Linked DNA regions of Caenorhabditis elegans. The protein of the gene in region 2 purifies or fractionates together with the protein of the main gene of each other region. This does not show direct contact. Each region holds a gene or a part of one and is shown on either strand. Other genes may lie near its edges. The genes, in order: acox-3, F20D6.11, Y69E1A.5 and lbp-1.

Region 1 (7,434 bases), on a different chromosome or scaffold from region 2:
GCTACTATCCGTGCAACACATAACCATGTTCATATCCAGCTCAACGTACTTGTTGTATTCCATATGTCTCAATGGTTCTGAACGGAACAACTCAATGTGGACCACTAACAACAGCCGCTGAAACTGCTGCATCTGTTTCTAACTCAACATATAATTGTTGTCCAATTGGAGGAATTTGGAGCTCTTTTTCCAGTTACGGAAGAAATGATGGCGATACAATGTGGATTAGAACGCGAAGATGTTTATCAGAAAGTGCTGGTTGTAATTGTACAGGAAATAATACTGAATCTACAACAACTTGTCCGTGTAGAGCAATGACATCAATTGAATCAGGGTTAGAAAAACTTTCAATCAGTTTCACATGTGAAATGGGTTCTTTATACTGGAAATATGATTACAATGGAGATTATATTAACGGATGGTATCAAATGATTATTGTTTGAAATTTGATAAAAATTTGTGTTATTCTATTTTTAAAATCTCGAAACAAAAAATTTTCAAAGCATTTTGCACCTACAAATTAAAAAAAACTTTTTACCGTTTCCCATTGATGGTATAACACTTTTTTGAAATCACGCAACATTGGTATACGGAGCTTCAGTTGTGTTCGAGCTTTTACAGCCTTTCTGAGCCTTTGTAGAGTTTCCTGAAGTTATTCGCACGCAATACAAAGTTGACATTGGAGAATCAGACGGACGAGTTCTGAAAAACTTTAAGTTTTGAAAATTGTATTTTTGAAATTATTTGTCATCGTGCGAAGAATTTCAAACGGAAGACCTTTTTGATGCACAACCCTTTCAAGCCAATTAGCAAATTAATGAGAGTTGATAAATTTATAAATTCTCCAGATATGTGAAATGGATTCTTTATCACGTGGAGAATAGAAATTAAAAATAAAAGTCGTGAGCGAGTTAATCTTTGTATTCATCGACTTCGCGACAACATTGATACAATAATATTGTGAGAACAGTTTTTAAAGTAAAATTAGAAATTGGCGTGGAAATAAATTAAATTTTGGTGTTATTTCATATAAATATTATTTTATAAATACATTGTGAAAGTTCTACAATGATTTTTGGCACTTAATAAATAGTTTTAAACATTTTCCCCGTGGGCGCTATCACTATTTTAAATTTTCCCCGTTTCACATTAATCATATAAATTCATTTAAACTAACGCAACATTATCGTTTTGGTTCTAAATGAGAAACTATTTTCCAGTGTTAGAAGCCTTTTAAGCATTTCCTGACATCCGGGTACCAAAGTTTTAATAAATTTTTTCAATTAAACATTTAAAAAATTTTGCCGTTTCACGTCGACGATATGTATAAATCTGAAAACTTTGCTTATACGTTTAGATTTTTATTTTTTGCAAAAATTTTAGCTTTCAAAGAAATTTGAAATTGTTTGTATATTTTGAATTTATTCAAAAACTGGATTTATTGGGAAATATACAGTTTGTGAAATATTATAGCTTGGATCCTTGTGATCTCTTTTGCAAAAACTGAGCCAAATCGCAAACCCATCTTGGTTGTTCATTTGTATACTTCCGGAATTCTTCCATTATATGCTCGTACGCTCTGAAAATCAAATTTAAAGTTCAGCAGAAACCTTTACATTTTAAAACTGACTTTCCATCAGATGCTCCCAGAGCTGAATGTAAAATGAAATCATCTGGAGCAATCGAGTCCACTAAAGCAATGGCCTCGGGTTTTAATTCGGCTACAGCGAGTCTAAGCTTCTCTCGAAGATCTTCTCCAAACTTTCCACCAGAAGCATATCCAGTAATATAAAGAGTTGCAAGATGTCTTTCCAAAAGGAAAAGTGAGAAAAGATTCAAAACTTTTTGAAGAACCGGCTTCACACTTTGATCTTCAATTTCTTTCAAGAACTGTTGAACCCAATGGATCATTGTATGTTCTGTGTATGCAACAGACAAATTGACAGCTCTATGAATTTGAATTTCATTTCGAACTTCGAATGAATTCTTTCCAGATGCTTTTAGTCTGTAAGCTTCTGCCGAAGTTGTTTGAAGTAAGTGATAAGTGAGATATCGGTACGCAGACAACACGTCATTAACTGGATTCGAAGACCATGATGAGAACTTTGAAGGTTTTTGATTCAAGAATGACATAGTAGACATCGGGGTCTCAATGGATCCAATTGATTGAGCCTGAACATCAGAATCTCAATATGATTAAAGAATCTGACAATTAAGTTTACTTTTCCTAGCAAAATATTGCTGGTTTGTTGCAAAATCATAAAGTTTTCTCCTTCAAATGTTTGTGATGGATCGTTGTCATCTCGGAGGGTGTTCAATCGTGACATTTGTAGGTATCTGTAATTTAAATTTTAACTTTAATCTGGAAAAAATAGAAAGACGAATTCTCAAAAAATGAGTTTCTTAAAGTTAAGTTTCAGGTTATGTTAGGAAACATACCCATGACCTCCACAAGCTTTTCTAGCTTCTCCAAGGGATTCTACACCAAGCCACGTTGCAACCGGTTTAGCTCCAGACGACAATGCATGTACTTCTTTTGAGAACTCGGAGAGCTCGTCTGACTTTTCTCCCATTATGACTCTCATCATATATTCAGTGAAATGTCCGACAAACCTATAAAGTTTAACTAATTATTGAAAACAATTTGTTTAGAGTTCCCACTTCTTCTGGAATATTCTAATGCAAATTGCAGCGGATAGGTACGGGAATAGACGATACTGTTGAAGTGGATACTCGAGAACTGGGATCTCATTTTCAGCTGAATTATACAAAAGTTGAGAAATTGAGAAAAGGAATGGTGCTCACCGCCTTTTACTGGTCCAAACTGTCGCCGAGCAACACTGTATCGAATAGCAATTGTAGATGCAAAAGTGCAAGCCATCATTCCTTTTGCGATAATTCCGAGTCTGAAATTTGTGTTATTGTGAAACCATTGTTGGTAAAGTTTGAATTTTGAAACAGTATTTTGTTTGAAAAAAATCAATCGGAAAAACTTATAGATTGCACTGTTTTCCCAACTTTATGAATTCGTCTGCTTTTACAATTTCGAATTGTCCTAAGAATGCCATTTCCATTATTTCTATTTGTATTAAATACAATGGCTTCACTCTAGAAAATCAATTCATATTTTAAAAGTATCGATTAAAGCTGGAATAGATTCGTTTTGAGATTTTGCTTTTATTGATAATAAGGCTCGGCCGTGAAATTTGCATCTTGTATCTACTAAAACTGAGAAAAAAACAACACATTTAAAAAGTTGGTAAAACAGCGGCTAGAAATTCTTCAGAACCTGATTTTTTTAACAGAAATTCTTTTAGATACAAATTTCACTCAATTAAAAAATTTTTCTATACGGCCGGCGTCGTAAAGTATTGAAAACATACCTTCCAACTGACAATGTTCCCAAACTGACACTCTGCTTCTCACTTGCAGATTTGAAACTTGTCACATATTTTCCATCCGGAGTAATATCACAACCCTTATTCAAAAGTGCACTCAGAGGAGCTCTATGGTTCTTAAACTCCATCCAGCCATTTTCTACTCCCTGCCAGCATCCTGGTTTCGAGCCCATGTCTCCAATGGTAATTCCTGGTAGAGTTTGGAAAGTTCTAGGGCAACGAACTTGAATCACAAATCCATGAAATCCCTCGTTCTTTCCTTCGACATGAAGTTGAGCATAAACAACTACGTGAGTGGCCGAGTGAGCTAAAAAAATGGATTTTTTTAAATTTAAAATTAAAAATGTTTTAAAACCCACCGAGATTTCCAGCCCAACATTTGATTGCACTGACACTTGGAGTATTGAAAACAAGTTCTCCATTGTCAAATGTAGCTGTTGTTTGAATTTCAGCAGTGTTTGAACCATGGCCTACTTCTGTCAGACAAAATGCTCCGACGATCTGAAATTTGCTATTTTGCAAGGAAACCTAAACTTTCCAGATTTGAATACAATGCGCTTTTGTTTAAATTTCTTTAGAATAAATTATTTTCAAATTTGTTTTGATTTTTCTTTTTCTTGAGTACTTCTTAATTTTGTATGCTATTTTCTTTGAAATTCACCTCATTGTTTTCAGTTTTCTGAATCAAATCCTTATGTCTATCTGTTCCCATTGACTTAACAGCTGCTCCAAAAACATTTCCGTGGAGGAAAAGCCTTGCAGATGTGCCTTGATCATAAGCTTCAAGAGTTTCAGTCAATGCATGGAAGTTTTCAAGATCGGAGTACGGCTGAATATTCGAATATATTGAAAATCTACAATTTAATAAGAAATACATCTTTGAACAACCCCCATTCGACAATTTTCTTCCATCTCTGATGAACAACTTCTCTTTGCTCTTCTCTACTCAATACTCGATAATCTCTGTGAAATACTGGTTCTGACTTCATTTTAGCAACTACTTCTGACTGAAATATATATAAATATTTTATAAATCCAAAATCTACTATACCTTCAGTCTAACATGTTCTTCTCCTTCAACGGCTGCTTTCAATTTTTTCCAGTCGAAAGTTGCCATTTTCCGGTATTTGTCAATTAAAGGAGCACTCATTTTTGATCTGAAACTGAAAAATTTACTAAATAAATCCTTTAAATTCAAAAGATTCATTTTATTTTCAGCAGAATATATGTTAAAATAAACTGAACAAAATTAAGACAAAAGCAATTGCATATGTACTGGGTAGGAAGAGTGTAGTCTTATCAAAAACAAAGAAAATAGAAAGTAATTGAGAGACGCAGAGATCGAAGACAGTCTGACTACAGCGTGGTGGTATTGTATAAATAGGGGGAGGAATGGTCTTTTAAAATTATCGTAGTAGATTGTAATTAGCTGGTGTTTGTAAAAAGGGTCAGAGGAAATTAACTGAAATTTTACAGAAAATTCATGTTTCCTTGTTTTAAAGTGGGCTCGGAGAGAGAATGTGGACAAGTAAATAGTTTAAAACAACGTAGTGGATAATAAAAAATTTAGTATTATTTCCATAAGTGTAAAACATGTTTTTAAATAAAAATACGCTAAAAAATTTCTAAATACAGTTTTGGCGAAAGTGGGGGTAACACATTTCCAGGAGCGTACTGGTCAAAATAAAAATTAAATTAAATTAAAATTAAATTAAAAATTATTAGCACTTTAACTTCAATATTTCATACTTTTACAATATTTTCCAACATTTTTGCAGTTTAGACTTTGATGTAAACATTTTTAGCGGTTTCATAGTTTTCCCGAAATCAATTTTGGCTGAACTACCAAAACTTGAAATTACTGATAATAATAATAGGTTTGCTCTGACTTGAGCAATTATATTAGGTGTCCGATAAAACCTACTCATCAATTTTGTGGAATTTGGAAAAAAATGTGATTGCCAACTTTGTGATTTTGTTGAAAACCTCAATAGAGAGTTTGCTTTTTCTTCGAATTACTAGATGCGTTTCACTATTTTATAAGTTAAAATAAGTGGAACCACAAAGTTCAGGCAATATTTTTCTATCATTACTAACATTAACAAGAAGAGATTAGTTTAATTCATGATCAAGACTGTTTTTACGAGATCTTTTTTTCAGCTGAAGTTTCAATATCAAAACAGAGAAAATGCCTCTGTTCATATAGTATTCGTGAAACAGCATAATAATTTTTTTGTTTAATTTAAATTTGAACACAAGAGTTGGCCAATTGAAGCATGATTGAAATACAATTAAAACTATTTATTTTCCATCTTTTTTCATAATTTCATAATCTTATTTCCCTCTTCTCAAACAAGTCTTTCGTTTCATGATCTTGGCATAAAGAAGAGCTTGAAAACATTTCTAATCCTTTTTTCCTTTTTTGCTAATCTCTCAAAACCTCCTACATTTCAATAATCTCTAGCTCTAACGTCACACATTCTGAGCTTTTGAGAGAGTCAGAGAAGCCACAAACCCGCCCATTTTCTGAAGAAGAAATCACTCATTCTGCCTTCTTCGACTGCTTGGTGGCGGTCCTATCTTCTTTTATGCAATATATCATACTATGTTATTTTTCTGTTATTTTATTGCTTAAACATCAAGCAATTAGAGTAAGTTAGTAGTATAGTGGGAATAGTTGTGCAAAAGACTTAAAGTTGCGCATTTTTGCAAATTTCTCGGTTGGTCCCCCGTTTTAGAATAATTGAGGAATTTCACTGAAAACCGTGTGTGCCTATTAATTATTGCTTCATGTGTGCCAATGTTGCGAATAAGTTTCTGGCATTAATTAGTGTATAAAACGTTGAAATGTGTGGATCGTAAAGTTGTGCATTGAAAACGGGGATCCGAGTTGTGACCGGAAAACTAGTCGATCTGAAATTTCACACTACACATTAATTCACAATTAGCTTTTCACAACTCGTCAAACTATGCGTACAAGAGCTATTTTGAACACGTTTTAATGTACGGGAAGGAAATTCAAAACTCCACTCTAACCGCGGCCGGTTTCTATCATGACCCTGTGATTGGCGACCACCGTAGTCCTGGGTTTCAACAGCGTTGTGCCTCAATTTACAACCAGGACGAAATACAAGTTGCGGCAAACATTTCGATTGACTTGATGAATCAGCCGCGAGTGCTCTTGAACGGTTGTAATGTGAAACTTACAGTTTACCCAAATGATAGTAAATTTTTGATTGAGGTTTACAATCGCGACAACAACACAGAGTTTCAGTTCAAAATAACCGACGTTTACGCTCTGGTTAACGAATTCGATCTTGCCGACGGTCTATCTAATGCTCTAGAGAGCTCCATTATTGAGCACAAAATAATCCAATATCCTCTAATATCTTCACAGGTGCGCAGTTTCTATATAGAGTCTGGACGTCTTGACGCGCCGGCTAACACACTCTTCACAAGCAAGATGCCCCGTCGAATTTTCATTGGTCTTGTTGATTCTGACGCGTACAATGGCTCTTATGATAAATCACCATTCAATTTCAAACCACATGGTATATCTGATATACATGTTGATTATTGTGGAATGACACTCCCCGGCCGCCCTTTTGCCTTAGATTTTGACAGAAACAAGTTTATGGAGGCATACATTCAACTTCAAGAAACCCTCGGTCACTCGCGAAGCAATTCCACATGTAATTCTATTAGCACCCAAATGTTTAAAGAAGGCGGATATACGATTTTTGGTTTTGAATTGAGTCCCGTTGCTCAGGACACTTCACTATTTGAGTTGGTGCGACAGACAAACGTCAGCATTCGTTTAAATTTCCGAGAAAAGGTTCCCGTCGGCGGTCTTTACTGCATAGTATATGCAGAATTTGACCAAATTTTCTCACTTGATTTTATGAGAAATCCGATTGTCGACACTATAGTTTAATTATAATTAGATTCTTCGTATTTGGCATGTTTTCCTCATTACCGTTATTGTTGCGTTCCGTACCATTCAGGCGTGAAAAGATGTTTTGGCTTTCAGTACCAA
Region 2 (6,793 bases):
TTAGTTTATTTTACTGTCTCAAGTGCCATATGTCGAAGTTAACAAAAACAGTACACTAATAAATATGTACATACTTCAAAATTAACTACTTTTTTTCCATTTTATTCACACTTTCCTGCTACTTTCTCTTTCAACAATATTTTAAAATTACTTTTTTGCACATGATGATGAATGCTGATTCTTCCATAACACTTGTTGTACTGCTCCAATAAGTACCGAAACTGCAATTATCGCTTCAATAACTCCAAGAAACGCTGCTCCTGTAAGAAATGATAGTATGATGTTTGTGTGTAACAGTAGAACGAACAATTGCAAGAAACAGATGATACGTTCAATTAGTTAGGTCAGACAATGTGACAGGCGTGCGGTTGTGATTCGTTTGAGTGTGAACTTAGTGCAAATGTGCTTTTGCTTTAAATTGAATGTGAAGTAATTTATAAATAGATACTTAGTAGTACTTTCATACTTTACATCGTTTTTTGATCACTTTCAAGTTTATTGCAGCAAAGTCTATCGAACAAACTTTTTGGGTAAAAACGAAACTGCTCAAAGAACATAAGGCTTCAGGAATAAAATATAAGAGTCTCAGGCATATCAAGTTTTATTGTAGGTAAACGTATTTCAGGAATTCAAAAATTGGTGAAAATAAAAACTATGGTCGTTCAGTATTATTTGAAAGTTGTAGTTTTTACAGATCTAATTTTGAAAGAAACTGGTTGAAGAAAACTATTGGATTATGTCAATCGATATCCTTCTTAATTGGAACATTCGAATTTAAGCAAACATTTAGCAATCAACATTCGTTGACTTTTTGGTTTTTTCAACTTATTGATCCTTTCAGAAATGACAACTTGTTATATCCACTTGTCAAGGCTTCTTTTCAAACATTTTTAGAAATGACTCACCTAGTTTGATGTGACACATGTTGCAACAAGTTCGGTTAAAGTTTTTCTGTCGAACAGCTAATTGGGCAGCTTCTGCTACATTTATCGGTTTAGTGGGGTTCACGGAGCCGAGCCGTTCCGTCATTTTGACTCATGCAGTGGACAAGAATCAAAATTAAAAATTCAATTTCGAAGAGTTTCAGAAAGTTTGAAACACGCGTTTTAATTTCCGAAATAATTAGTCACATTTGAGTTATGGTCGAGACGAAGTACGGTATCTGAAATTTCAGAAGATTTTGGAAAATTCAAGGTAACAGGTGTAACAAAAAATAATAATCAAGTTCAAAAAAGTTTTATCATATAATCACATCGATATCGAGCAAAGGGTCTGTGGAGCCAAGTCTCTGGAGGTTTTCTCTAATGCTACGTTGTCTATACTCTCTCACAATCAAACACTCTCTAATATCTCACGGACCCGATGACAAAGAGGAGGACTCGTCGACACATGTGACAAACGGTGGCGGTATATCCAGTGGAGTGAAATGTAGGTGATAGACCAAGAGTGAGAGAGATGAAAAAGAAAGAAGGTGAAGAAGGTACGAGTTGGATGATATCAAGACACAGAACGACAAGTTTATCTCTATTAGCAAGGGTCTCCGGATGAGCAAAGAGTTAGTGATAAACGGAAGAGTGAGTGCCTCTCGTCGCAATCAAAACCAATGTTTTATCACCACCGGGCCAAGAAATGAAGAAGTGAAATGAGAGAATAAGCCGGGTAAGAAGGTTGGTATCCGGGTTGAGTCAAATGCAAGTCAAATGAGTGGATTAAGTTACAAGTCTTATCACAGTTTGCTGTCTGGGATTTGAGACGTGACACTGCTCATGATTTGTGAGTTTTGGCATTTTCACAAATCAAACTAAAGAGTTGTAGTGTAGTTATTTATTGCATGTGAAAATTACACTCGTTTTATGAACTTCCTTGTTGAAAACGTTCATTTTATGGTTACTGAAGATCAGTCTCTACAGAAGAGCATCTCAATTGAGTTTATACATTTTCAGAGTTTTGACTGGTTCTGTGGTTTTTTGTGAAACAATCAGGTGCATTGTTATATTTCTAATATTTCTCAGTTTTTATTAAAGGAAGAGCCAATGGTTTTTTTTTTCAGAAATCGGATTTTTGGGAACAGCGAATACATATAAATCAGTTTTTAGTTCATTCCATAAAAAACACAAAAAAAATTTTTTTTAATCAAACAAATAGTTTATTTATTTACTGCTGAATTCCTACACTCGTCTATAGCAGAAGATGTCCCCAAGTGTGATCGCTGCTGCTGCAAGTTTATTTGGGTAATTGCATTAATGTTTAAATTAAAACTAACTTTTTCAAATCCTTCAGAGTGACTTCGATTCCTTTTTTGAAAATTTCAGCGAACTGGGAGGCAACACTGGATGGACCACCAGCAGCTACAGCTACGACTTTGTCTTTTCTTAAAGTTTTTACTAACATGAAAAATGTATAATTGTTCACTTACTTCAAGAAGTATCGAATGAAAGTTCCAGTTTCAGGATCTCCATTAGTGTATTCCTTTGTGGATCCTTGATTGCATCCTGAGAACTTCAAACCAAACGCAAAGAAAAACAGAGTCCAAAAGTATGGAACAATAGGTCCAGGTTGAGGTTTTCCAACAATAGTGTATCCAAGATGTTGTCCTAAAATATTAAACATCGATAGTTAAATTTGAATATCTTCTGGTTTACCATGTGCTTGAGCAGTTTGGAAGTGTTGAATATTGATACTGTCAATATCCCAAAGTGGGAGAGGAGCTGTGACAACATCACCCATTGCGAAGATGTAGCTGATATTAGTCTGAAGTATTAGAGATTAAAAAAGCATCATAAAATAAACTAAACCCACTCTAAACTTTTCATCAACTTCAATGAATCCTCTATTGTCCAATTTGATACCAGATCCTTCCAAAAACTTAGTGGCTGGGGTAACACCAATTCCACAAACAAGAAGATCTACATCAAGCTCTTTTCCATTCTCTAAAATAACTTTTGAGACTTCTCCTTGATCGTTTCCACGAAGAGCAACCACATTTGCAGCCAGCTCGAACTTTACTCCTTTTTCTTCAAACTTCAGACGGATTCCTTTACCAATATCTGATCCAAAAACTGGAAGAGGCTCCGGAGTATTGGAAATAACTGTAACTGACGCAGCTTTTTCTGCCAGAGCGGATGCCACTTCCATTCCGATAAATGATGAGCCTACACAGACGACGTGCTTCCCAGGATGAAGGTTGGAAATTATGTTGGCTTCTTCTACTTTACGAAGGTAGCAAATATTCTGGAAATTGCACATGTTTATATTTTTCAGATTTTCGTTTTACTCTCACTTTCAAATCTGATCCGGGTACTTGCAACTTTCTAACATTTCCTCCAGTAGCAATAATTAGTTTTGAATAAACAACAGTTTCTCCGTTCGATAAACTGACTTCTCTACTTTTATGATTTACTGCAATCACCGATGTTTTCAAAAGAAATTTGACATTTCTCTCTTCGTAAAACGCATCATCTTTTCTCAAACGAATATCCTCTCCGGTTGCTGCTGGTTTCTGAAAATCATAGGTAATTTAGAAAAAAAGATTTAACATTACCTTAGACAGCAAGACTCTATCATAAGGCGGCAAAGACTCTTCTGAGATTACTAAAATTGGGGTTATAAGACCATTAAGTCGAGAATGCTCAATGAATGTAGCTGTAGCTACACCACCACCGATAATCACAACTGGTCGATCATTACACTGCTTCATTTTTGGAAGATGTCGAATTCGACGATCAGAACCTAGCTTCTTTTCAGTTGTCTTGATAATAAGGTTTCCATCGTTGACAGTAACCTGGAAAAATATAATTGTTTGATTACAAAAAAAGGACAACAAAGTTTAATCAGTCACCTCCAACTTTTCAAAAAAGAATTTGTCCAAAAATGCGAAAACAATAAATTTTTGGGTGCCACTTACCACATAAGAATGAAGACTGTCAAAGCCTGGATAGTCTTCAATATCTCCCGATCGAACATTAAAGCAAGCTCCATGAAGTGGGCACCTAATTCTTCCTTTTGCATATGTTCCATTCTCCAATGAGAAATTGTAATGAGAACACAATCCATTAATAGCGTAAATTCGACCCTCGTCGTTAATCACCAAAACTTTACGATCACGAACTTCGAACATTTTCTTACTGGAAAAAGACAATGTTATTTTTTAAATTTTCTTTTTAAAACTTTAGAGAACTGTTTTTAAAAAGTTGAAATTACTTACGTTCCTGGCGGTACATCTTCGATTCTACCGAGAATTTCCTCCACTGCCGGAGAATCATCATTGTCACATTCCGGCTCAACAGGGGTTAGCCAATTGGCGAGAGCCATTGTTATTATACTGGAATATTAAAGAAATGTACGTGTAAATTCGTTTTTTTTTCAGAAAATCAAGGAAAAGAATGATAAATAAACGTAGTCATCAGTCATCAATTTTTGTTATCAATAAGAGTCTATAGATGAAAGTTTAATTGAAAAAACGTACAGTTTTCAAACTTTGTCCTAGAGGTTTCGGGCAAATTCTTCGTACAAAAAATAACAAAAATATAAAAATGGGGCTACAGAGACCAATTGGAGCACTTTGAGTTGTAGGAACAAGAAAAAGGAAAAGAGAAGCACACGAAAGGCTGGGTCTATTTGCTAGGCGGCAAATGGAAATGCTGACAAATGCCTGACACTGGCATGTATCTAGGATAGTTGACCACAGAGAAAAAGAAACTTTGTGATCGTTACAATTTTTAGTTCACACCTTGTATACTTATTAAACTAGGGTAAAAGAAAGTCAAGGTGAAAGCCAAAAAATGCTTTTAAGTCTTGAAATACCAGAGCTTCAAAGAGAAAAATCAACGAAGATGTGGGAAAACAACAACATATTTCAAAACATCCACGTTATCAGTTTTTGGTAAACAATATTTGTTTGCGTGGAAGGTTTTTGTAAACGAAGCGTTATTTTCTGAATTATTTTTTTTTTCTGATTAATCGTAATGGTTAGAAATGTTTTCGAATTTTTTATTTGAAACTATGTTTCTGTACTTACGGAAAATTTTCCAAAACGTTTAATTTTCAGTATGTCCAATTTATACATCAAAGACTCTAAACTTTAGATTTAAATCTTATTGAAATTAGTAAATTTTGAATGAAAATCTCGACAATAAACCACTAGAAGATCATCAAGGTTAAACGAAGTAAACAAGAAAAACTGGAGAAGAAAAAACGTCGAAACGATCAGTTGAAGGAAACATGATCCTTCATATTGGAACGAAACGCTCAAAAATCAAAATTTGTCGTTTGAAAGTTTAACCTTTAAGTTTGAAAATGATACGTCTTAATTGTTTTTTTTAAAAATCGGTATCACTAGCTTTAAAAAAAAGTGCAAAAACGTTAAAATGGAAAATCCCTTTTCTTGAAAACCGAGAGATGAAGAGAACCGAGACATACAAACAAAACTCTCCGTAGAACGGCCTATGGTGACACTCACAAACAACAACATAATTGGGAGAATTGAGAGAAATAGTGGGAAAATGCGGAAATTTAGGAAAAAGAGGTTCAATGAACATATTTATAGAGACAATTGTTTTTGGACGGGAAAATGTGAACTTATGGGCTATGAAAATTTTTATAAAAGTACGATTACTTCCTTGCCGGAATTTCAATTTCAAATAATCAAAGCTGATAATTTAGTTCAAAATAATATTCCACAATAATCATATAATGTTTAATTTTCAGTAGTTTCATTCGGGATAGTTGTAAAGAACAATTTTGTGAACGATAATTGCAAAAAAATCGTCTTTTATCCAAAAATCTCATGGCAAACAAAATTATATTTCAAGCTTGTTTTCAAGCTTTAGAATCACATTTTTCAAGCTTTAGAATCAAAGAATCAGAAATCATAAGAATTTCATTTTAAGCTTTGATTACCACATAAATCATTTGGTATGGATGAATGATGCTTTTCGTTTTTTGGTTTTGTGACCATATTTTATGAGTCCACCGGAATTTTATAAAAGCTCGGGTCTCTGAAAAAACTGCTATAAGCCAAGCTGAACATTCGCTTGAAACAAGCGTGAAATGAAGTATACTGTCAGTTTGTTCAATTATTAGCACGGCAGTTGGCTATTGTCATTGAAAGTGAATGTTTGAGTGAGTCTCTACGGATTGAAACTTTTTTTTTTGAAGTTTGATGAATGGTTTGTGAAACAATATTTTTGTGTCTCGTTTTTTATTTTATAAAGTCAAATATTCCAAAAGTCCAATAGTGAATCACAAACTTTGGTTTATGTTTTGCAGCATTGTGAAGAAGTTGTTATTAGTCTCGATGCCATGATGAAGCTACAATAGTCTTGGGTTATAATAGGTGAACATTAAATTTGCCTGGGATGCTATAACAGAAATTTATGCAGGCCAAGGAGTTTCCGTGCCTTCGCAAACTTTTTTTTTCTACATATTAATTCAATCAAAACTTATTTCTTATGTACATGCAAATTAAGTATTCAGACTCCAGTTTCCAAAACTATTATTTCCAGAAAAATGTCTGTAAAATAGTGAGTTTGGAATTTCTATCAAAATCTCTTTTCAGTTATCTTTATCATATTTCAAGACGTCATAATAATGATTCATCACTTATTCACCATCTTTCATTTTTTTTTGTCACACTAATGTTATTGTTACACTTCCTGTCTCTCATCGTCTCATATCTCTCGGATCTCTGTACTATATCTACTCTTGACCGATTCAATTCGCTCAACCAATGTCATCTCACGATCAGTCTTGGGTTGAACTATCAACAAAATAACTATTTTCTTTTTTTTTTGTT
Region 3 (5,068 bases), on a different chromosome or scaffold from region 2:
GTAAGAAGTCGTGAAACAGGAAAAAGACCTCAGAGTGAACCACATTCGACACAGCCAGAATCAAGTAACGATGTAAAACCACCAGTTGCTGCTCCGAAAAGTGTGAACAAAGAGGTAACAACTGGATACAAGAGATACCTATTCCTTGGAGATTATGTCGATCGTGGACCATTTTCAATGGAAGTTGTCATTCTACTCACTGCTCTCAAACTTGCATATCCCGATCGTATTTATTTACTGAGAGGGAATCATGAATCAAGATCAGTTAACACTTCGTATGGATTCTATCGAGAGGTCAATTATCGGTTCGTTTTAAAATTATGACATCTTTGAGAATACATTAACATTTTTCAGTTATGATGCTCAATTGTACGAATGCTTCCAGAACATGTTCAACGTTTTCCCATTCTGTGCTGTGATTAACAATACGATTATGTGTATGCATGGAGGAATCAGTGAGCATCTGACAAGTTTCAATCAGTTTTCGGTTTTCAAAAGACCACTCGAGATTCCTGATGTTGGTGTTCTAACTGATTTGACATGGGCTGATCCTGATCCGGTATGCGTTCATTCAGAATTTTAAAATAATAAATATCTTTTCAGACTGAAAAAGGCTATAAACCATCCGCACGTGGTGCATCTTTTGTCTTCGGACCACCAGCTCTCCGTGCATTTCTGAAAAAACTGGATCTTCAAATGGTTATCCGTGGTCATCAAGTTGTTGAAGATGGCTATGAATTCTTCGATGGTCGACGTCTGGTCACAATTTTTTCGGCTCCAAACTACTGTGGACAGAATGACAACACAGCGGCTGTTTTTAGTATTGATAAGAAACTGAAGATTTCGATCAATGTCTTCAGGCCGGAGAGCAGAGACAAGAAACGTGGATTTGAAAAGGAGAGAAAGGCCAAGAAATGATCCTGAACTCGTTTAGACTTTTTATTCGTAGAAATAAAGAAATTGAAATTACTACAACGTATACATATCATGAAAACAATAGATTCATCAAACTTCGAATGAGTTCGATCTTTAGCTTTGCTCAAGTAACTTTTTCTTTACATTCTGTTACATTTTAACCACCTGGACTTATTCCTGTCATAATTGTTCCGAAGAAGTTATTAGCCAACTTTCGATATTATATTATTATTATATTATTTCCCTCGATTGAGCATGGAGTGAATTTTCAATAACCACAAAAATTAAATTTTATTACATAGAAATAATTTCAAATTAGAAAATGGCTATTTCGTTGTTATCCAATTATAATTACACATTAAATTACAATATTTATCCCTCGTGTTGAGCAAGGAAGAAATTTCCGGCAATTGGGTCTCCCAACTTGTTCTTCTCGATGAATTGTTTAACGTTGAACTTGGCACGAGAGCTAGGCTTCGGCACAGAGATGCGTCTTCCAGCGTGCTCCCACATAAGAATCACATAACGATGAAGATCAGTTCTTGGTCCTGGAGCTGGGCTTCCATATGCCATTTGATGTTGACCTGGAAAACATACATTTCGTGATCGTAGGTATAAGTGTGTCCTATTATTATCACCATCAACAATTTGAGAACAGAAGCCAGGTGAATTATAAGTATTCTCGCGTTTTATTATAGTTATTACCTCCGTTAATTCCATCAATAATATTGCTGGCTGGAATATTGCAGACAAGCCAGTGAAGCCACTCGGCAACAGATGGATTCTTTCTTGACAAGTTATCTGGATCAATCATAAGAACTGTGTAGATTGATTCTGGGTCAGCTCCTGGAAGAGCCCATCTCGGAGCATTTTTAAGGTTGCGAACTTGCATAGTCATTCCTGGCTCAACTTGGATTCCGTCCCAGCACAACTGAATTTTCAATGTTGTAGCAATTAACTTTTAAAAAAAACTTACATGAAGCTTCTGCTTTGGGGCATTTTCAATAATCTTTGGAGTAATCTCGTGTTGAGCAAAAGCGGCAGAAATGTCGGACATTTTTTATGTGTTCTGGAAGACGATTTTCAAAATGAGGTTATCAAATGAGAAGACTGAAGAAAACAAGAAAATAACGAAAAATAACAGGTGTTTCAAGGCGGTTTATGAGCAGACAACAACATGGAACAGAGAGAAAAGAAGATAAAGAAACTGGAGATGTGACGTGGGAACTAAGAGAAAGAGCATTGAGCACAATGTAATGGGGGAGGAAGGGGTGATGGATGGTAAGCGATGGAAATAAGAGCAAGATGTACAATGCAAGCTGGTGAATCAGAGGTGAAAAGTAATGGAACATACAAAAAGAGAAATACAACAACAAAAGGAAAAAACCCAAAACAATAAACGATTGGTTCCATTTGAAAAAAAATAGGTTGGAAGACAGTACTCAAACCTTTCTGCTAACCGAATGCCTACCTACCATTATGTTTACCTTCTACCCATACAAGTTGTTAACAGAGAGCAATGAGCGCAGGACCAATAGGGAAGAAATTAAAACATTAGGTTCCATGAAAAACGAAGCATTTTATTGGAAAACCCCATTCACCTCGGTAAAACTGAACTATTGAATGCTTAGCCCAGAAACTAAAAAAATAATTACGACGTCGGTTCATCTGGCAGTTATGAGAGTCATTCTACTGACTGTGATGTACTACTTATTACAGCAAAAAGGCGGGAAGAACTCAGATTACACTTTCATATCTTTCTTGTTCTTCATCTTTAACCCATACGAAAAGCACAACAACAGTTGACCGCCCCCATCTGACTCTAAATCTCTTCATTTGAACGATCTTTCCACCGGATGCCTACTCATCAGAGATTGAATGTGGTTTTCGAATGTTCTGATAAAATATGAAAATGAGAAAGTTTTGAACTGCTAAATTTCACGACTGTACTGAATTAGGTAAAAAAAATTACTAAATTTTTTTTCTATTGGACTTTGTAATTTTAAGTAGAATCTTCAATAGTAAAATGAAATACAGAGTTGCCATTCAACCAGCATACACCTTTAGCTAAAGATACTATTTTGTGAATTTTTTCATTTTTTGAGCTAAATTGTCAACCAAATAATTACTGATAAATTGAAAATTTCGACAATCTATACAGTTCAGAAGTTCAGACACATATACTCCTGAATATATTTATGAAAGTACAGTACTCTCTTCCTAAAACAATTGATTCGAAACGTTGTTTAACCACTTGACACCTTTCTATTTCAGCTTTCCAGAAGATATGCCAAGACTACGACAGGTGAATTTGGACGGATAACTAGCTTATTTTAATCAGTTACGCCCTTATAGTCATTTCTTTCTGACTCTTTTGCTCAAATCACACTCCTAATTTGTTTCAAATTCTCTAACTTCTTTCTTCTAATTTCTTTTCCATTTTTGATTAATCAATCATTCAAATCTCTTGAGCTGATTTTCAAAAGTCAAATGTATACATATTCTGAAGTGACCATTGATGTTACTAAACCAACTTTCCTATTAACTTTCTATTCAATTCATGGTACATTTGCATTGGTTTTCAACATTTTGGGAATATTTCTAATCATGAAAAATCCCAAGATAGTTAAAATGTATAAAGGATTTATGATTAATATGCAGGTAAATTAATTTTCAGTGTTAAAAATCACGAAAAAAGTTCACATGCAGTATGGAAGAAACCGTTAGTTTATTGGTTTGAGTGCAGCTGAAACAAATTTTGCAGTGGAAGTCAATTTGAAATTTGTAGAACCTTTCTATTAAAGTTCATAACATTAAATTTCCGCTTGCAAAATTTCCGCTAGTTTTCACCAAACTATTATAGAATAATGCATGAAGTGCAAAAAGAAGCAAAGTTATGAATTTTCTATAAACAGCATTTGAAAAATTCGATTACCAGTGGAATCAAACTTATTTTTTTTATTCAAAAAGAATCAGAAAAATAATTATGAAAAAAGGTCAATAAACTGGAACATCAGTCACAAATATAGTGCATTGAGTGAGTAACAAAAGTCGTTTTGCAGATTTCACCTGTTGAAGTCTCAGAAATTAAAATAAAGATCCAATTTTAAGATTCTGTCTCTATTGGCTGACGCTCAGACAACACTGCTAATGCAGCCAGTCTACATACTTCCAATAATTGGTGGATATACAAATGGACTTTTGTGGCAGGTGTTCAGACTATCTTCACATATTCAAATGGCAATGTTTCTCTTGTTATTGTATCTTCAAGTTGCTTCAATTGTCTGTGCAATTGTTACCAAATATCATGTTGTTTCAAATATTGGAAAGGTAACGTTTAGAAGTTGCAAACAATCACTTTCAACCAGACTTTTAAAAACACACGAGATATAATTATGCCAAACTTGAAAGATTTTTCGAACACCTAGATCACATATTTGTTGAAAATTGTGGCTGGAAATAAAAATTAAAAGAGAATAGCGCTAAAAATTTCTCGACCTGTAAGAGGAAACAAGAAATCGTAGCTGAGTAAATGATACCGGAAGCAGCTCTCGGAAAATTAAAGCAAAAAGAATTGAAAATCTTTGTCTGAAAATGTTTCATTCAAACGGGGACCACAGTTGTAAAATCTTCGGGCAGTATTATATGTATTCTAAATTTAAAACACGATTTTACGCACAAAAAAGAAATTTATCGAAGGTACCTCCTTAAGTTAGTAGATATAGAGGTATTTTAAGAAACTGAAATGAACGTGCTGTAAAATGATCAATGCAACATTCCAGCTCTCTGATCGATCAATACTATTCTGGATTTTTGTTATAGTTTATCATGGGTGTGCGTTTGTCATTACAGGATTTTTTAGTGTTTCTTGTTTGGCACGACAAGAGGAAGAAAATTTGATTAAAACGGTAAAAGTATAGAAGTTAAAAAAATAATTATAATTCTTCTTCTTCTTCAGAAGTTTCCAAATGCGATCAGCGTATTCACATTGGAAAATGTGGCAATTTACGATTTGCAAGTTAATAAGTGGATGATGATAACAACTATACTTTTTGCATTTATGCTAACTGTAAGATCATTGTTCATTTTTCATGTTAATGGTTAAAAAAGTTTCAGAGTTCTATTGTGATATCTTTTTATTTTTCCGTCCGAC
Region 4 (5,249 bases), on a different chromosome or scaffold from region 2:
TCTCTTGTAGAATCTGCGGCCTTCGATATTGTTGAAGCTCATCTTCTGTAATTAACAAAAATGTATGTCAAATAGATTGACCAAATTTTACCTGAATAAGAAAATCTCCATCAAAGTAATACTCATAGGTTTCTTCCTTGGATTCTCCCTCTTCAAGTGGCTTGTGATGTTCGAACAAGTGTCCGTCCTTGAGAGTGAAGGTAACCTGAAAATTATAATTGAAATAAAAATAAAATAAAAAGTACATGGCATGGAACTCACCTCGTGCTTGGTGTTATCAAGACCCTCTCCTTCGAACTTGCTTCCGATCTGGACGTTTTTGTAGAACACATCTTTTTTCGATGTCAAGTTGGAGTAGTCGAAGAGGTTTTTGTTAGCATTCTTGGCAAAAACCTTCTTGAATGTCGCAAAGGTTACAAGCTTTCGAGTGAACCATCCGTATCCTTTGGCAGTGAGGTACTCATCAAAATTTTCAGAGTGATCCAAGTCGAAGGTTCCATAGAACTTTTCTGGAAGCTGTTCGGCAGCCACAAGGGTAGCTCCACAAAATGCGAGTAAGATGAGGAATTTCGAAGACATTTTTGTTCAAGTCAATGACTGAATGACTGAAGTGTCCACAGAAATGAAGATTGATCAAGACTCCGCCCAGTTGCTCAATCGACAACACAATAAAACTGAGGTCAGCCACGTGTGTAATATAGGGTCACGGCACGGATGGCAACAACAAATTGATGATCGGACTTACTTGATTTTCAAAAATCCTCACAACACCTGGAAGCTAATAATAAACAAAATTTAAGAGACCGAACGAAAACAATTCATCGATTACTTGTTGAAATGCAGAATGAATTTTGTCGAAATAAATTTAAACGCGTTAAGAAAATTGAAAAGAAAACTGCTACGTTTTTTGACTGCACATCAAACAATTTAAGACTTAAAAAAATATTTTTAATGAGGTCCTCAAGATCCAATGATTTTAGTTATTAAACTATGTATTTTGAGAAATGGTTCTTATTTAATGGTACCTTATTCAGAAATTAAATGTGAAAATCAGGAAAAAAAAAATAAAAAAGAGCATACGAAAGAGTAGAAAAAACTCCATTTTATAGAAAACTTTCGAACACAACATCGAAAAAAAAAAACCGAAAAGTGATTGGATTTTGACCCACCCGAAATTTTAAACTGGTTGTGTCCTTTTTGTGTTTTGAATTACGTTTTTGCAAATATCACGGCGCAATCGAACTTTCATGTTTTGATTCCAGCATAGGTTCAATTCATCTGATAATTTGATTCTTAATTTCAAGTCTTCAATGTGCAAAATTTTCTTTTTAACACTTGTGTCACTTTTACACGTTAACAAAAATTCAAATTTTAATCAACTTTGCTTTCTAGAACTCCTAATATGTACATTTTTAAACCAGTGAAAACATTTCCCAAACAAAAAACTTCAGAGGGCTATGCAGCATGAATCACAAAAGAACCGCGTTATTTTTCTTATTTTTTGCCCCATATCACATTACAGAATCGATCTAACTTTTCAGTTTATTTGAAACTTGAAATACATCAGTGGCAAAAAAAGTACATTGAGAAATCAATTCATACAAAAATTACAATAGTTTCTGAATATTTATGGGAGTCGTTTGTAGAATCGGCGTCCCTCAACTCCATTGAAACTCATGCGCTGAAAATTACAATCATGAGAATGTGAAATTGGTTTTTAAAAAATGTTTATAACTTACCACAAGAAGGAATTCCTTATCGAAAAGGTACTCGTAGGTCTCTTCCTTGGCGTCTCCTCCCTCGAGTGGCTTGTGATGCTCAAACAAATGTCCGTCCTTGAGGGTGAAAGTGATCTGAAAATTAATTAATTAATCAATTTGAAAGGTTACTTGAAAACTTGCAAAAGCGTACCTCGTGTTTGGTGCTGTCAAGTCCTTCTCCCTGGAAGGCTTTTCCAAGTTGGACATTCTTGTAATGGACGTCTTTCTTTGATGTCAAGTTGGAGTAGTCAAAGAGGTTCTTGTTGGAAGTCTTAGTGAACACCTTTTTGAATGTGGCAAAAGTGACAAGTTTACGAGTGAACCATCCGTATCCTTTAGCAGTGAGATACTCATCAAAATTTTCGGAATGGTCCAAGTCAAAAGTTCCATAGAACTTATCAGGGAGAACAGCAGCTGAAGCAGCTCCAACAAGAACCAGGAGAAGAGCGATTTTAGCGCACATGGTTGGCTAGGTCGATGAATGAACGACTGACGTCTTGGCAGGACTGTGGGCTGTGTGTCGACGTCGTCTGCGTGGACCCCGCCTACTTGCACAGTCGTAAACAACATTGTACGGCAAGAAGTGCAGCCCACATGTCGATTGCGCTGACGATTAGCAGAGATGGACGGCTGGACTCGGATGGGTATCGAAAGAGAGTGTAGCATAAATGATTCGGGGCAGATTTTTTTTGTTCCGTGTGTTGGGGTCAGTTCGGATATTTTTGAAGAGAGTAGTTGCATGAATCGGGTCCTGGAAGACCGAACAATCAACTCAAAATAATTTCGTTGAAGGTTTAAGGCGAATCGAATTGCAATTTCCTTATTTGGTTGATATAATTTTATGTTATCATTATCTTTCATAGTCTATAGTATGATTCTCCATTTCTTCAGCAAACATTGAATACGGCAACAGGTCTTCAGGTCTGCAGTTCAAAACACAATCCATGCAGGGCTGGGACTTTGGAAAACCAAAAAAAACTACCGGAAAAAATTATGAAAATTTTTATTCATATAGAATTCGACCCACAGAAAAAGAAAACGACTTCAGAAAAAAAGTTTTTTTGCCGCAGAATTTCGGTACATTCGGTTTTGGGTTTTTTTGGTTTCAAAATGAAAACGAAAAAATATTGTAAGGATCCCATAAAACACAATTTTTCAAAAATATTTTTAAACTTTCAACACTAGCTAAAATTTTTAAGACACAAAATTGTTTTTTTTTCTGGTTTTCAAATGTTTGAGCCCTATTCCCAGATGACAGAATTCATATTAGAGATCATTGTTTTCCAGATGGCCTTTCCCGTAAATTGGCCAATACGATTCTCACGTTTTATTGGGCTACAATAGACCCATCTACTTTGTACCTTGGCTAATCTGTTCTATGTCCACTTTCGATGTTTGACCTCCATCTGTTCATTCGTTTTTTTTTGTGAGATCATGCAATTTTTGAAAATGGCAGAGCAAGTCTAAAGGGACAATTGTTTATTTAAAAGGACAGAAAAAATAAACATCTGTGATTAATAATGTGAAGAGCTCAGTTTTATGTTGTGTTTATAATTTCTACTTCTTTCCGGTCGATCGCTTGAACCAACGACGGCACGTGATTCCATTGTTGACCATTTTCTAAAAATGAGAAAATTAGTGGAAGAAGTTGTAAAATGGAAAAAAGGAAAAGAGAACGAAGTACACACCATGACAAGTTGATCGTTCTCGATAGTGTAGTAGTACGTCTCCGCGCTGTGTTCTGGGTCGTTGAGTCGGATATGGTGCTCAGACAAAACTCCGTCTTTGAAGGAGAAGGTAATCTTAAATATAACAATATTTTTAAGACACTTGAATATTTTTTGAAACCTTGTGTGCAACTCCATCAAGGCCTTCTGCCTCGAAAGTTTTCCCGAGCTCCCACCCGTGGTAGAGTGTATTCTTCTTTGAAGTCAAGTTTTCCATGTTGTATTTTCCAGGAGTTTCATTTTTGGCCAGCACCTTGCTCACTTTTGCCAATTTGATCATTTGTCTCACAAACCAGCTCACTCCTGTAATTAAAATTACTATTAAATGTACACTATCAATTATTTTTACCTTTAGCAGCCAGGAACTCGTCAAAGTTCTCACTTCTGTCGAGATCATACTTTCCAAAAAACTTCTCTGGAATTTCAGAAGCCGCCTCAGCCATAATTGCTAAAAAGCAAAAGGAGAATAAAGTTAAGTACAGATTCATGACGAGTAAATGTATGAAGAATCGATTGGTCGCAAGAGCAGATGGACAATGATTTTATCTTGGGGGTTAGATCTATCTATATTCTTCTTCTTCACTTGATTTATTACATAGGCCCAATGGCTCGGTATCATTGAGATCCGAAATTGTGAGCATCTGCCTCATAGCCCTATGCTTTGAGTGTACTCTGGAGCACACAAAATGCACAAAATATATTACATTGGAATTTGGAAAGATTGGAAAAAAGTTAGAAAAAAAACAATTAACACAACTGGAGAATAAGAAAAAACAACTAAAATAAAAGGAAAACACTCTGCTATTACAACTAATATATTCAAATAGAACTGACAAAACGGGATGCGTAAGAAATGATAAGATGAAGTAGTGGTCGGACAGTTGTTATCAGTGTTGTTCTGCACCATCATCACTTGCATAATATGACTCCGCGCAGAACGGTCGGAGAAAACTGATAATACATTTGGTTAGCACACAGAAGTAGCAACTACATACAATTGATTTATGACGGTTAGAGGTTAGAAATAAAAATTGAAAACTGAGGCTGGAGAAAGCTGATCAAACAGAAAACTGTGGAACGGGGGAAACGATAATATGAAGAAAAAAATCCGCATTCCAAAAGCTAAATGTATTTCTAAAAGATTACAAAAACCAAGGGTATTCCTGCAAATTTGTCTTTGAAAAAATGGAAGAATACGGAAATGTGGTGCTGAAACGTATAAATAAAACGAATAGAAAAGGAACGATTAGACACCTGGAAAAACCGAAAGTCGCTGAACAATACAATTTTCGTAAAAGGACCGGTTTAGAACATTTTCAAAAAATTACTAAAATTCGAATTTTTTTCACTGTTTCTTTTGCCCTGTTTTTTATTGGTAAGTCTGCATTTTTAATAATTTTTCCATTGATGATAATTCTCCTTGGAATTCCAATTTGAATGGTTTCCATGAGCGCGACAGTATTACAAAATAGAGTTTTTGTATTCATGATATGTACAAACTCTGTACGTTTATTCTATAACATTGAATTCCAGTTATACTTAGAATGTTTTTTGCAACATCATATTATCTTACACTTACACTATCTTACACAGCTTGAAAAAGTACTGAAAAATCCAATTGAACTTTAGATTTAAATATTTATGTTTGATTTCAAAGTTTTAATATTTATATTTGTCAAACATCATTTCTAATATTGCAATTTGTAAGTAAGCTTCCTCAATAATGACTGTAATCATCCTCCTCATCAGGTTCTCCTGCATC

The links.
Region 1: the proteins of F20D6.11 (region 2) and acox-3 fractionate together in Caenorhabditis elegans (co-fractionation; one large-scale study listed by BioGRID). This does not show direct contact.
Region 3: the proteins of F20D6.11 (region 2) and Y69E1A.5 fractionate together in Caenorhabditis elegans (co-fractionation; one large-scale study listed by BioGRID). This does not show direct contact.
Region 4: the proteins of F20D6.11 (region 2) and lbp-1 fractionate together in Caenorhabditis elegans (co-fractionation; one large-scale study listed by BioGRID). This does not show direct contact.

What each region holds. Positions count from the first base shown.
Region 1 is NC_003282.8:6,243,932-6,251,365, forward strand, and holds acox-3 (Acyl-coenzyme A oxidase acox-3), read right to left. Parts: upstream 4,562-7,434; 5' UTR 4,549-4,561; coding exon 4,450-4,548; intron 4,406-4,449; coding exon 4,274-4,405; intron 4,228-4,273; coding exon 4,060-4,227; intron 3,900-4,059; coding exon 3,758-3,899; intron 3,706-3,757; coding exon 3,384-3,705; intron 3,223-3,383; exon of another isoform or gene 3,202-3,222; intron 3,073-3,201; exon of another isoform or gene 3,051-3,072; intron 2,907-3,050; coding exon 2,806-2,906; intron 2,759-2,805; coding exon 2,662-2,758; intron 2,614-2,661; coding exon 2,440-2,613; intron 2,338-2,439; coding exon 2,223-2,337; intron 2,173-2,222; coding exon 1,631-2,172; intron 1,580-1,630; coding exon 1,468-1,579; 3' UTR 1,427-1,467; downstream 1-1,426. UniProt on the Caenorhabditis elegans protein: Involved in the first step of peroxisomal beta-oxidation by catalyzing the desaturation of fatty acid-derived side chains of ascaroside pheromones, which regulates development and behavior.
Region 2 is NC_003283.11:8,194,774-8,201,566, forward strand, and holds F20D6.11 (Rieske domain-containing protein), read right to left. Parts: upstream 4,322-6,793; 5' UTR 4,312-4,321; coding exon 4,205-4,311; intron 4,125-4,204; coding exon 3,905-4,124; intron 3,782-3,904; coding exon 3,542-3,781; intron 3,500-3,541; coding exon 3,281-3,499; intron 3,232-3,280; coding exon 2,800-3,231; intron 2,752-2,799; coding exon 2,643-2,751; intron 2,595-2,642; coding exon 2,417-2,594; intron 2,372-2,416; coding exon 2,264-2,371; intron 2,216-2,263; coding exon 2,179-2,215; 3' UTR 2,001-2,178; downstream 1-2,000. Other genes in the region: F20D6.10 (uncharacterized protein), read right to left, coding at 152-260, 906-1,029.
Region 3 is NC_003282.8:10,955,672-10,960,739, forward strand, and holds Y69E1A.5 (Phosphatidylethanolamine-binding protein), read right to left. Parts: upstream 1,985-5,068; 5' UTR 1,973-1,984; coding exon 1,892-1,972; intron 1,847-1,891; coding exon 1,621-1,846; intron 1,500-1,620; coding exon 1,288-1,499; 3' UTR 1,192-1,287; downstream 1-1,191. Other genes in the region: Y69E1A.4 (Serine/threonine-protein phosphatase), read left to right, coding at 1-305, 355-559, 604-918; sri-19 (Serpentine Receptor, class H), read left to right, coding at 3,406-3,576, 4,027-4,245, 4,698-4,823, 4,874-4,984, 5,032-5,068.
Region 4 is NC_003284.9:3,256,132-3,261,380, reverse strand, and holds lbp-1 (Fatty acid-binding protein homolog 1), read right to left. Parts: upstream 2,240-5,249; 5' UTR 2,224-2,239; coding exon 1,912-2,223; intron 1,854-1,911; coding exon 1,740-1,853; intron 1,682-1,739; coding exon 1,628-1,681; 3' UTR 1,569-1,627; downstream 1-1,568. Other genes in the region: lbp-2 (Fatty acid-binding protein homolog 2), read right to left, coding at 1-45, 92-205, 262-579; lbp-3 (Fatty acid-binding protein homolog 3), read right to left, coding at 3,318-3,380, 3,449-3,562, 3,609-3,790, 3,837-3,975; tba-9 (Tubulin alpha chain), read right to left, coding at 5,205-5,249. UniProt on the Caenorhabditis elegans protein: May play a role in sequestering potentially toxic fatty acids and their peroxidation products, or it may be involved in the maintenance of the impermeable lipid layer of the eggshell.